Linked DNA regions of Kluyveromyces lactis. The protein of the gene in region 2 purifies or fractionates together with the protein of the main gene of each other region. This does not show direct contact. Links are inferred from orthologs where the notes say so. Each region holds a gene or a part of one and is shown on either strand. Other genes may lie near its edges.

The links.
Region 1: the proteins of MTR10 (region 2) and NPL3 purify together in Saccharomyces cerevisiae (affinity purification with western blotting, with the first as the bait; 4 studies listed by BioGRID). This does not show direct contact. The link is inferred for Kluyveromyces lactis from reciprocal best matches to the Saccharomyces cerevisiae genes MTR10 and NPL3.

Annotation. Positions count from the first base shown.
Region 1 is NC_006038.1:75,195-80,316, forward strand, and holds NPL3 (mRNA-binding protein NPL3), read left to right. Parts: upstream 1-2,244; coding exon 2,245-3,273; downstream 3,274-5,122. Other genes in the region: CYM1 (pitrilysin family metalloprotease), read right to left, coding at 1-1,415; UBX2 (Ubx2p), read right to left, coding at 4,238-5,122. UniProt on the Saccharomyces cerevisiae protein: Involved in mRNA processing and export. Required for efficient splicing of a large set of pre-mRNAs by efficient co-transcriptional recruitment of the splicing machinery. Remains associated with the mRNP during early steps of translation elongation.
Region 2 is NC_006037.1:204,023-210,359, forward strand, and holds MTR10 (mRNA transport regulator MTR10), read left to right. Parts: upstream 1-1,544; coding exon 1,545-4,430; downstream 4,431-6,337. Other genes in the region: mitochondrial 37S ribosomal protein PET123, read left to right, coding at 1-710; mRNA splicing protein SME1, read right to left, coding at 991-1,272; PNS1 (Pns1p), read right to left, coding at 4,651-6,312. UniProt on the Saccharomyces cerevisiae protein: Involved in mRNA transport from nucleus to cytoplasm.

The DNA.
Region 1 (5,122 bases), on a different chromosome or scaffold from region 2:
ACAGGTTTTGAAATCACGAATTCTTTGATTAAGTCTTTGAATAAATTATCACCCTTAGTGGCCCAATCTTCTTGGAATCTTTCTAGTGTCTCATCGAACAATAAAGAATCAAATGGATCAGTCTTGTTAACCCATCCTGGTAAAACCGAGTACAGTAATTGTAAACCGAAATCTGCCCTTTGGTCTTTCTTAGATAACTCTAATTGTTGAATGATTGCTTGGATCCTAGACTCCTCAAACGGATTCTGTAATACTTCTTCCCATACTTTGTTAATAACTTCATATATCGAATCCACTTCATCACATCCTTGAACACCAATAGTGATAAAGTTTGCAGCAGTCTGCGACTCTACACCAGTGTTAACTGAAAAGTCGTACGCCAGCCCACTTTCAATTAGTTTTTGATAGAAAGGAGAGGAATGTCCGTCTAATAATAAATTACCCAAGATCTTCAATAGAAATGTTTGGTACGTGTCTTCAGGTTTACCACAAATCCAAGTCACAGAGGTCTTGATCTGTTTATCCGGTGGTAACATAGGATCAACCTGTCCTTCGGTTTCTACAGAAACATCTTCTTTCATTTGGATTGGTAATAGTTCCCTCTTCTTAGAACCCCTTCTACCATAACCTTGATATTCTTTATTCAACCTCTGTAAGGTATTGTTCAAATCGAAGTTCCCGTATGTAAACGTCTTAGCATTAGAAGGATGGTAATTATTTCTGTGGAAACTGATTAAATCTTCATATTGAAGATCAGTCATTTTAGTTGGGTCACCACCAGAGTTATTCAAGGATGGATAATAGCTTTCTTGAAACTTAATCCAGAAATAATAGTTAGCATTGGATACTTGACCCTTCATTTCATTGTATACAACACCTTTGAAACCTATATCGCTGTTTGGATCATCAACCTTAGTGTGTTCAAGCCTCCAACCTTCTTGTAGGAAATCTTGCTGATTCAACAATGGATTTAGAGTTGCATCAAGGTAAACGTCTCTTAGATTAGCAAAATCCGTCTCATTAGTGGTAGCAAACGGGTAAAAAGTATAGTCATGACCAGTCATAGCGTTCATGAAGTTTGCCAACGATCTGTTTAACATCTTGAAGAACGGATCGCGAACAGGATACTTATGAGAACCGCAAAGAGTTGTGTGTTCCAAAATATGTGGCACACCAGTTGAATCCGGGGGATTGGTTTTGAATCCGATACTGAACACGTTGTTGTTATCATCTCTATCAATATGTAAATGTTGTGAACCGGTTTGGTTATGCAATAAATCCACGGCTGTTAGCTTTAGTTCAGGGACAGGAAGTAATCGTTTCACTTCATATCCGTGAAAAACGCCACCTACTGGGTACTTCCTCAGCGCCCGAGACTGTGCATATTTTGTGGCATAGTTACGAATTTGAAACATGGTATTTTATAATGCAAGAATTCTCCACCTGGATTTAGATTCAATATTCCTTCGCTTATATTTCAAACCCAGTTTTTTCGATCTTGGTATATTAATCAATGATTACTGTCGTCAACGATTCTATAACGATTTATTGCGAATAAATAGATAAAAGAAATGCAAAGAGAAAACGAACGGTCAAAATATCGGAAATATCCCCTCTAAACTGCTAGTTCGCTTGGCTTTTCGTTTCTTGCCTCTGAGATAAATTCGCTAAATTGACTTATCAATATGTTAAGAGACCTTTGGCATGCTCTAGTATCTTTCCTCCAGGATTCCATACTATCGAAGAAAAACAGCTATGAACTACGGTCTCACTTCTGACGAGTTAAAAAAATGAAAAACTGAAGTTCAAGTCACGTGATACATGTGTCACTCTTACCTTTCTGTATAACAATGGTAAATACAAGTAGCAATGAGAGCATTTGATCAATATAGCCTCTCAGATCGTATTTGGTAGGAGTATGACTTGTATGAGGGCTTATATCTGTGCATGCGATACTTATCAGCACTCATTCTAAAAAGACTTGTACCGAGGATTCCAGAGTTTTACCCTACCTACCAAACCTTGTTTGACACTATTCTCTTCTGTCTTTTCTTTTCCCGATGTTCATTTAAAATTTTCACTTTCTCCTATATATAAAGACATATTTAAAACCTGGTTTTTGGAAAAAAAATTCTACTCCATCATCGTTGAGTGGCGTTGCAGTATTGTTTTTGACTAAGATATTAGTGTTTCACTTCTTTTGCTCAAGGTACAACCAAGAACACTTACTCGCGAAATATCAAGATGTCTGACGTTCCTCCTCCTCCAGCTGTCGAAGAAGAAACCTATGAAAAGCCATATGAAAAGCCATATGAAAAGCCATATGAAACTGCTCCACCACCTCAAAGTTATGAAAATTTCAATAATAGAGTTGATGACGATGAAGAGCTTTCTGATACCAGACTATTTGTGAAGCCTTTCCCTCCAGATGTCACTGATGCTGAAATGAAGGAAATTTTCGAACCTTTCGGTGCTTTGAAGGAAATAAAGATTTTAAATGGGTTCGCTTTTGTTGAGTTTGAAGAAGCTGAGTCTGCTTCCCAAGCTATTCAAAACGTTGCCGGTAAAATGTTTGCCGACTACCCATTGGAAGTTGTATTTTCCAAGAAGTTAAAGCCAAGATTCAGAGTCATTATCAGAAACTTGCCAGAAGGCTGTGCTTGGCAAGAATTGAAGGATTTGGCCAGAGATAACCAGTTAGAAACTACTTTCTCCAGTGTCAACACCAGAGACTTTGACGGTACTGGTGCTCTTGAATTCCCAACCGAAGAGATCCTGCAGGAAGCCATTGAAAAGTTGAACAACATCGAATTCCGTGGTTCAGTTTTGGCTGTTGAAAAAGATGAAAACCCACCACCAATCAGATCCTCTCGTGGTCGTGGTGGTTTTAGAGGCCGTGGCGGTTTCGGTCGCGGTGGCTTTGGTGGCCGTGGTGGTTTCGGCGGTCGCGGTGGTTTCGGCGGCCGTGGAGGCTTCGGTGGTCCAAGAGGTGGCTTTGGTGGCCGTGGCGGTTTCGGCGGTCGCGGTGGCTTTGGCGGTCCAAGAGGTGGCTTTGGCGGTCGCGGTGGCTTCGGTGGTCCAAGAGGCGGTTTCCGTGGTGGCCGTGGTGGCTACGGTGGTCCAAGAGGCGGTTACGGTGACTTTGGTGGTCGTGGCGGTGGTTACGGTGGCCGTGGCGGTTACGGTAACAGAGACTACGCACCAAGAGAAGACTACCAAAGAGGCAGCGGAGAAGGCTACCAAGCGCGTGAAAGATCTCCAGTTAGAGATTAGAGGATTTCTGGAGTGCACAAATAGCTTTCATCTAAGAATGTTGTGAAATTACTTCAAGCATCAAACCGTGTGTCCCTACCATTATCATCGGAGTTGGTATTAGCTTTCTTTTGTCACTTTTAACAGAATTATTATGCTTACTATCTTAGGGAGTTATAAGCTCTTGTTTTCGCCCGTTGTTTTCATACTTTGTCGTTACACCAAGAAACCTCTGAACTTTACTTGGAATTTGAATTTACTCACAATTGTTGGGAATGAATTGAAGGTATCAACCTTGATGGATTGAGAATAAAAAAAAAAATTAAATATTAGTATAGGAAAAACCTCCCATCATCAGGAAAAAATCTTTTTACTTGTGGATCCGAACAGAACATCAAGGATCGTGAGGAGAAGGAAAAAATGATTATGTTTTTATAGTGGATTATTATTGTATTGTTTTATTATTTATCTTTGCGACTAGAAAAGAGGTCTTCCAGAGTAAGGAAGAAGTAGTGATGATCATGGAAATCAATTTCGCGAGGGAAATTGGTTGTGTTTTGTAACTGTGCTTGAAAATCAACCTTAACTCCAGCTCAGAATTGTTACAAATGGCACATATATGTCAGCGTCAAAGACTGCGCTTTTAAACGAATCAACAACTTATTGTTTCTTGCATCCGATCAGTGGATTTTGTCTTAGTCCATTTTCCAATTTGTGATTCTTAATCTTGCATTGCCGACATTACAGTGCATCAACCACCATTATTTTGTGTCTCTTCAAGAAAATGGTAATGTAGAATTGTCTTGAACTTGTAGGAGGCCTACGAAGGCCTTGACGTTATCCTGATGTGTACGAATTTGATTCTTTACAAACTGGGCGGTTTGTCGGATCAAACTTGTACCCACCTTAAACAAATCTTATTGATAAAACTGTTGTTATGCTCTAACATCGACTCCTAGTCACTTGACTATTTAATTTTATATCGTTATGTTGAATGACCAGCGTCATCACTCTCATCCTCTCCTTCGGAGCTGTCATCATTGTCCAATGATTCTATCAAGAGACTCCCGTTTGGCCATAGTTCTGACCTTGTTTTCAATTGAATGGATGGATCATTTGGAGTTTGTTTTCTAGGGAAAGGCGAAACCAACTCAAAGTCAAAGCTAATATCCTCTAGTTCGGTCTTAGATCTGAGTTCGGAAATACCCTTTTCTAATATTGCTTTTAGTTGATTTTCCGTCTTGGATTCCAATAGTTCTCCAGCAATGTTGGTGCTTTCAATAGCGGTAGCGTATTCAGGGTTTTCGCTGATATTTATCAATATTTCGCTGATTGTATCCAAATTATTTCCTTCAATATATTGGTCAGATGATGTTAAATATAAATGAGCTGCTATGTCGATGTAAACATCGCGTAAAGTGTTACTCCCTGAGAACTTTTTAACAATTCGTTTACCATCAGAGGTTCTGAATTGAATGTTGGAAATTTTTTCTGTTGGCTTGACCTCAGCATTGCTGCCAGATTTTAAAGAGTGTAACAGCATAGTAAATTGATAGAATAGGTCCTTTATTTTCAAGATTTCTTTCTGTTGCGCTTCAGAAATTAGTTTCTGTTTTAAACTTTCTTCTTGCCTTTCACGTTCTAACTGCTTTTCGGTATCTAGTTTTAATGATTCGTGGTATGCTTCATCCTGCATTTCCTTCATTTTTCTCACCATTTCTAGCTCTTGCATTTCCGTTTGGCTCGCTATCAGTTCAGGAGAGTAGCGACGAATTGCGCTTTTGAAAGAATCTTGGAATCGGGCAAGCGATTTAACCTTCAAAGCAGAAAGAACAGACATTTTCCTTGAACCGGAAGTAGAATTCAAACG
Region 2 (6,337 bases):
TTGATGTGGAGGAAGTTATCTATAACACGGTGAAACCTAAGAGTGAAAATACTACGGCTGCTAGTGAACAGCAGTTATTGAAGCAGAATCAAGCAGAGTTGCGTAGAAAATATTTGAGTGAGTCTTTACGTAACGAAGAACAAAGATTATTAAAGCAGGAAGAGCTATTGAAGAAGAAAGAAAGGGTACTACAAGAACAGAGAGAAGCCGAATTGAAAGAGCTTAACAAAGAACGTTCGAGTAACTTGACCATTCCAACATTGGAGGGCATTATGAATCAACCGCTTATGAGACAAAGGACTGCCGAAGAGCAAGAAATTCTGGATTTGAAGAGAAAGCACAACAAGGAATTGATTGAATTCAAGGCTAAAGAACGCAAACTTGCCAACTTGGTACAGCTTTGTCATGCAGCAGACCATTTCATTGTGACAGAAGAACAACTGGTGGCCAGTGTAGAAAAGGCATTCGCCTCGGACAACCAAGATGTATTAAGAAATAAGTTGTCTTTGTCGACTTCTCAACAAACAGCAAGAAACGAAGGTGAAATTTCGGATGCATTATTTGGTACTTTGGGCAACGGCAAATACGTAGGTTTGCCAATTGTGAAGGAATTTTTATCTGGTGAGATGGAACAATTTAACCAGGAAATTAATACCAAATTGGATGAATTAACTAAACAAGCGGAAGAACGTAAAGACTCTGTCCTTTGAGATATATCTTTTAGATAATATCACTGACACAAAAGAAACCATATGAACTTAAGGTATTCTCCCCAATCTGAGCAACACATTGTAAATAGATCCATAAGATTACGAACAATATATCTTTATTAGCCTTGATAGTGCTTGTCGCCGTTATCGAAATTTCAGTGCCTTTCATTTTTCCGTTATAATATACAGGCTTATATAATTACACGACAGAGTCCGATCAATGCTTCTACACTCTAAGCATCTTTCTTTCATCCTATTATCATTTTCTGAGTAGGCATTATCAATTTGCCACAACAAGTGTTATATTATCACCTTTCAACATAATTCTCCCAAGAAACACTGCTTTATCATCGCTCTCTTTACCACTTTTCGGATCTACAGCTATTTCGAAAGCGTCATCTATTACCACATTCATGAACTCATCAAAGCCTCTGATCTTGCCTCTTATACGTGTCTGTACTTGTTCGTATAACCAAAACGTTACTGTTGTCTGATGATGAAGGTAGTTGTATATGCAATTGATTGGAGGTACCATAGGAGCTCCTACTTTAGAGCCGGACATTTTAGACTTTTTCTAGAATCTTTCGGTGTATTGAAGGTCGATGTTAGTGTAACTATAATCAGATCGCAGTTATCCTTTATTAATGTCAGTCACTAGTGCCATGTTGAATTCGTTTGATATTAGTTTAATAGGATTATTGTTAACATATTAAAAAAATTTTATATATTGAATCAACCAAAACATTTGATCTTACTTATGCACTATAAAAGGAACTCATAAAAACTGCCACAGCAGATACCGTTGAGCAAGAACGACGTGATTGATCAATATTGATGTTGTATCAAATCCCAGATATCAAGAGTGCATTGATTTGTACTCAAAGTGTTTCTGAACAGGAGAAGAAGATACAAGCTTTACAATTTTTGGAGCAATTTCAAAAGAGCATAGAAGCATGGCAAATCTGCTTCGAAGTATTAAGCAAGCATGAAGCAGACAACTTACAGTTGCAAATGTTTGCTTGTCAAACTCTAGTGAACAAAGTCACCTATGATCTAAACCAGGTCAATACCGAATTAGAGAGTTTCAAGGGAAAGCTCTTTGAGTTCATCGCTATGTATGAAGAGAAGATCATAGTAACACAGTTGAACGTGGCACTAGCCCGATTTACCATTCAGTATCTTGATTGGAGGAATCCGCTAGTTGAAATTATTAATACTCTAAATGGTCTTCCGGGAAAGTTACTACTGTTTTTGAAGATTCTCCCAGAGGAAACATTGGATATCAAATCCACTCCTCTATCCCAAGATGAATTTGAGTGTAGAACACACGAACTTATAGATAACATTGGAGAAGACGTATTGAAATTTTTGATTTCATGTTTGGATAGAGTCGGAACTGAAGGCATATCTGCTTCTAAAATCATTTCGTGCTTTGGATCGTGGTGTTATGAATTTCCAATAGAACAGGTATTACAAGTGACTCCATTGATAAACACCGTGTTCCAAGTCTTGCATACTTCATATGATACTGATTCTGATTCTTTTGAAGCTGCAGTAGAATGCTTATGTGTGTTATTAAGAGAAACGAGAGACGCAGCCAACGATACAATCATACATGCGCTTTACGAGCAACTTTTAGCTTTGCAACAAAAGCTATTGCCAATCACAACCATTTCTGACTGGGAAGAATACGAAGAGATTATGGATCCACTCACACGTTTATTCGTTGAAGCTGGCGAAGCGTGGTGTGTTTTTCTTGCAAAGAATCCTGCCTTATTCAAACCATTGGTTGAAGTCATCTTGGTATTAACTTGCAAGAACACTGACCTCGATATCGTTTCGTATACTTTCCCATTTTGGTTTAATTTGAGGCAAATGTTAGTTTTACAACGTTACGCTCAACAAAGAAAAGAATATCAGGATGTATTTATTAATTTAACGAATGGTTTGATTACACATTTGCATTATCCGGAAACTGTTTTTGAAAATAAGGAAGATGAAGATAAATTTAAAGATTTTAGGTATAACATTGGTGATGTACTTAAGTCTTGTGCTGCTGTCTTAGGTTCAACCGTTGCATTGCAGCAACCATATAATCTTATCAACCAATATCTTCAGAAAGAAGATCCTAACACGGTCTGGCAACCACTAGAGGCTGCCTTGTTTGCTGTTCGTACAATGGCTCATGAAATTTCTCATACTGAAAACGTTGTGCTACCCCAACTTTTCAAACAACTATGCATACATCCACTAACTCACCCCAAATTGGTTTATTCTACAATACTCGTATTCTCGAGATACACAGAATGGACCAGTAAACATGAGGATCTACTGGAAATCCAATTGAATTATATATTCAATGGATTTGAAGCAGGCCAATCAAATCATGATCTCTCTGTTGCTGCCTCCAATGCATTAATGTATTTCTGTCAGGACTGCTCGTCACTTCTTGTTAATTATTGTGGCCAGTTAGTGGATTTTATTTGGAAAATTGAACGCGCAGTTGACAACTACTCTATGTTTGAGATGTGTCAAGGCTTAAGTTCTGTCATAAATGAGCAGGAAACAGCGAAGATTGGTGGCATATTCAATTCATTCACCTCCCAACATAATAAGAGGTTTGACATTATCATTCAGCAATTCATCTCGAACCCATCTGATCCTGATCTTTCTGCAAAAGTTGCACACTATATTGATTTGCTTTATGCAATTTTGGAGAACATTGTCCCCAAATTCGAGTATCCAGAACAAGGTGTTGAAGAACCGTTAATTGCCTCTATTTCCGAACATATTACAAAGTTAATTAACTTATTGGACGCATATGCGATCTCTAATGTTATCATTGTCGATAGAACAATGAAATTCTTCCGTCGTGTTTTCGAAAAATACCACCTATTCACACAACCAATACTTCCGGCGGTCTCAGAATTTGTGGCTAAAGGTTATTCAACAAGTGGTCTAGGAGCGTATTTGTGGTTCTCTGGTTCAATTATTTACGTTTATGGTGACGATGAATATTATCCTGTCGATGTACAGGTCAAAGAGGCAGTGTGGCAATTTGCCTGTCAGCAATGTTCTACATTCTTCAATAATTTTAAGTCAATGCAAACATTAGACAAATTCTTTGAAATGGTTCACGACTTCTTCCTTATGTGTAATGATCTTTTAATGTTTTTCCCTGAACATATGATGAACACTCCTGTGCTTATTTCGTCCCTAATACAATGGGATTTAGAGAGTCTTCCAAAACTCGACAATTTTGAAGCATATATGACATTGATCAGATTTTTAGATGATTTATCATCTTGGGGGTTCAAAACTCCACCTATCTCTGTTACGTCAATAACCGAAGTACCGGACGCTTGGAGATGTACAATATTGGAACAGGTAGTCTCTAAGAATGGCTCAAACATAGTTACAGCATTAATTAATGGCCTTGTGACTAATTTTGACAGTAGAGCTCACCAGGAAATTATCAGTTTAATTGTAAAAATATTCAGATTGGCTACAGAAAACAATAACAATGATCCATCTGTTTGCTTAGAATGGTTAGACTCTGCTTTGAGAAAAATGGGAACTATTGAATCTAACGAACGTAGCAAACTAATGAGCATCGGTAATGCATTAATACAGAGGGATTATAGACGTTGCAGGGGTAATATCAAGGATTTCATCGATTGGTATTTAAGGAAACACATTTCTTCAAGAATGTACACATAAAGTCAGGAAAGAGTACGCTTTGAAAAATAAGATCTAATTCACAATATTCGCTTATGATTCATGATGAAACTTTGTCTGATTCCTTTTATTTCATTAGTGAAACGGTAAATAATATATAAGTATTGTCAAATTGATTAATAGTATTAATTGAAAGTTATTAGTCATAAAAGTAGAGGTTATAGGGAAACTGCAACAGCGACATACTTAAAAAATAAAAGTTTTAAACGTTCTGGTGAGAAAGTTTCTTTAAGACTTCAGGATATGCCCTGAAGATTTCGTCGAATCTTTCTGGGTAAGATAGGTGGAAAACTTCCGGATCATTACCCAATGCAACGAAGAAGGTAGCAGTTCCGGATCTGATGGTCTCTGTAATCACGTTGCAAATTTCCATAGCAATGACGAAGGCGAATGCCATCAAGGCTGGTGTAAAGTTGTTGTTGTCATTGTAATTAGGATCTGTGTATCTCAAATAGAGGTAAGCAAATAACGTAGTGATGTAACATGTAAATAAGGTGAAGAAGCTCAATGCGACATTGACTAAATTGTCATTGATTAATGCATCAATACCCTTTTCTCTCAACATATACCATGTTTCCTTTGCAGCACGTAAATATGGCTTACCATACAAAGCAATGAACACGTAAGCATAGTGGTTGAAGTAGCGAGCAAGCCATTCCAAAAAGCTGAAGATCCAGTTGGCGATTAGTGCAAGACATTGCATCCATCCGTTATCTGCTCCGCCACCACCCATAACACCATCTACTGCTAGACGTAGGACTGCTTTCAAAGTCTCGATGATAGTGACAATCAAGGAACCAAAACAAATGGAACCAAAGGAGTAGGTTAGAGATCTTTTTAGAGCACCAAATCCAGGCCATTTTGGCATACCTTGATCTGATTTCGAAAAATAATACCAAGCACCGAATATACCACTGACAGTGCAATGAATGACATTTCTAATGACTTCTGCAATGTAGTAACCACAGAAAAACACCAAGACAAGCAACCCAATCAACTTTGCATTGGAACAAGACCCGCCGTTGGTGGAGCAACCTGGGTTGTTAGCCTTATCATCATACTTCATATAGGTAGCGACAATAACAGCTGAGAAAAGAATGGAGAAAGCAGTTGCTATAATACTTCCAATCAAAGTCACAAACCATGTCTGTGGATAGCTTTTCATCACATCCATAACAGTTTTTAAGACGGCAACAGTGAACGGAATTCTATGTCTCATTCTCCAATAGAATAAAGCACAAATAGCGGTGAAAACAAGGAAAACAATACCCGCAGAGTAATATTTCAACGAAAGGTACATAATGGCAGTAGCCAAACCCGCAATAATGTTGAAAAGGATCCCTGCAATGATAAAGAATTTGGGGAACATTCTAGCCAACACTATCCCTATGATCGAAAACACAAACGCAATGATACAGGAAATAGCCAACATAATGGCTGAATTGGTAGTTAAAGTACCAGTATTAGCACCATCATATACACCAGACCCTTGCGAGCTACTATTTTGGGACCATGCTCTTAACGTAATTGCAGCAACAACAATGAAAGCAATGACACATCCAGCGAAGAAAATGGTGAATGGCCAATCGTTCCATTTTGGTTTACTGTCCTCTCCTTCAACAGGAAATTTTTCTTCGAAACTACCGATTGGCGCACCTTCACCCTCAGCATTCAAGTTGTAGTACTGATCCTGTCTAAACTGGTATTGATTTCCCGGCTGTGAAGCAGGTGGTGGTGGTGCACCGTTATAATCAGCTGCTGAACCCTGATATTGGTTCTTTGAAGCATTAGGCCCTTGAAATGGGTCCTGCCCAGCATCATATGCGGGTACAGGCTCGGTGGGTTTGTTCCCTTCACCAAACATCACTCAATGAACTGTATATTTTCTC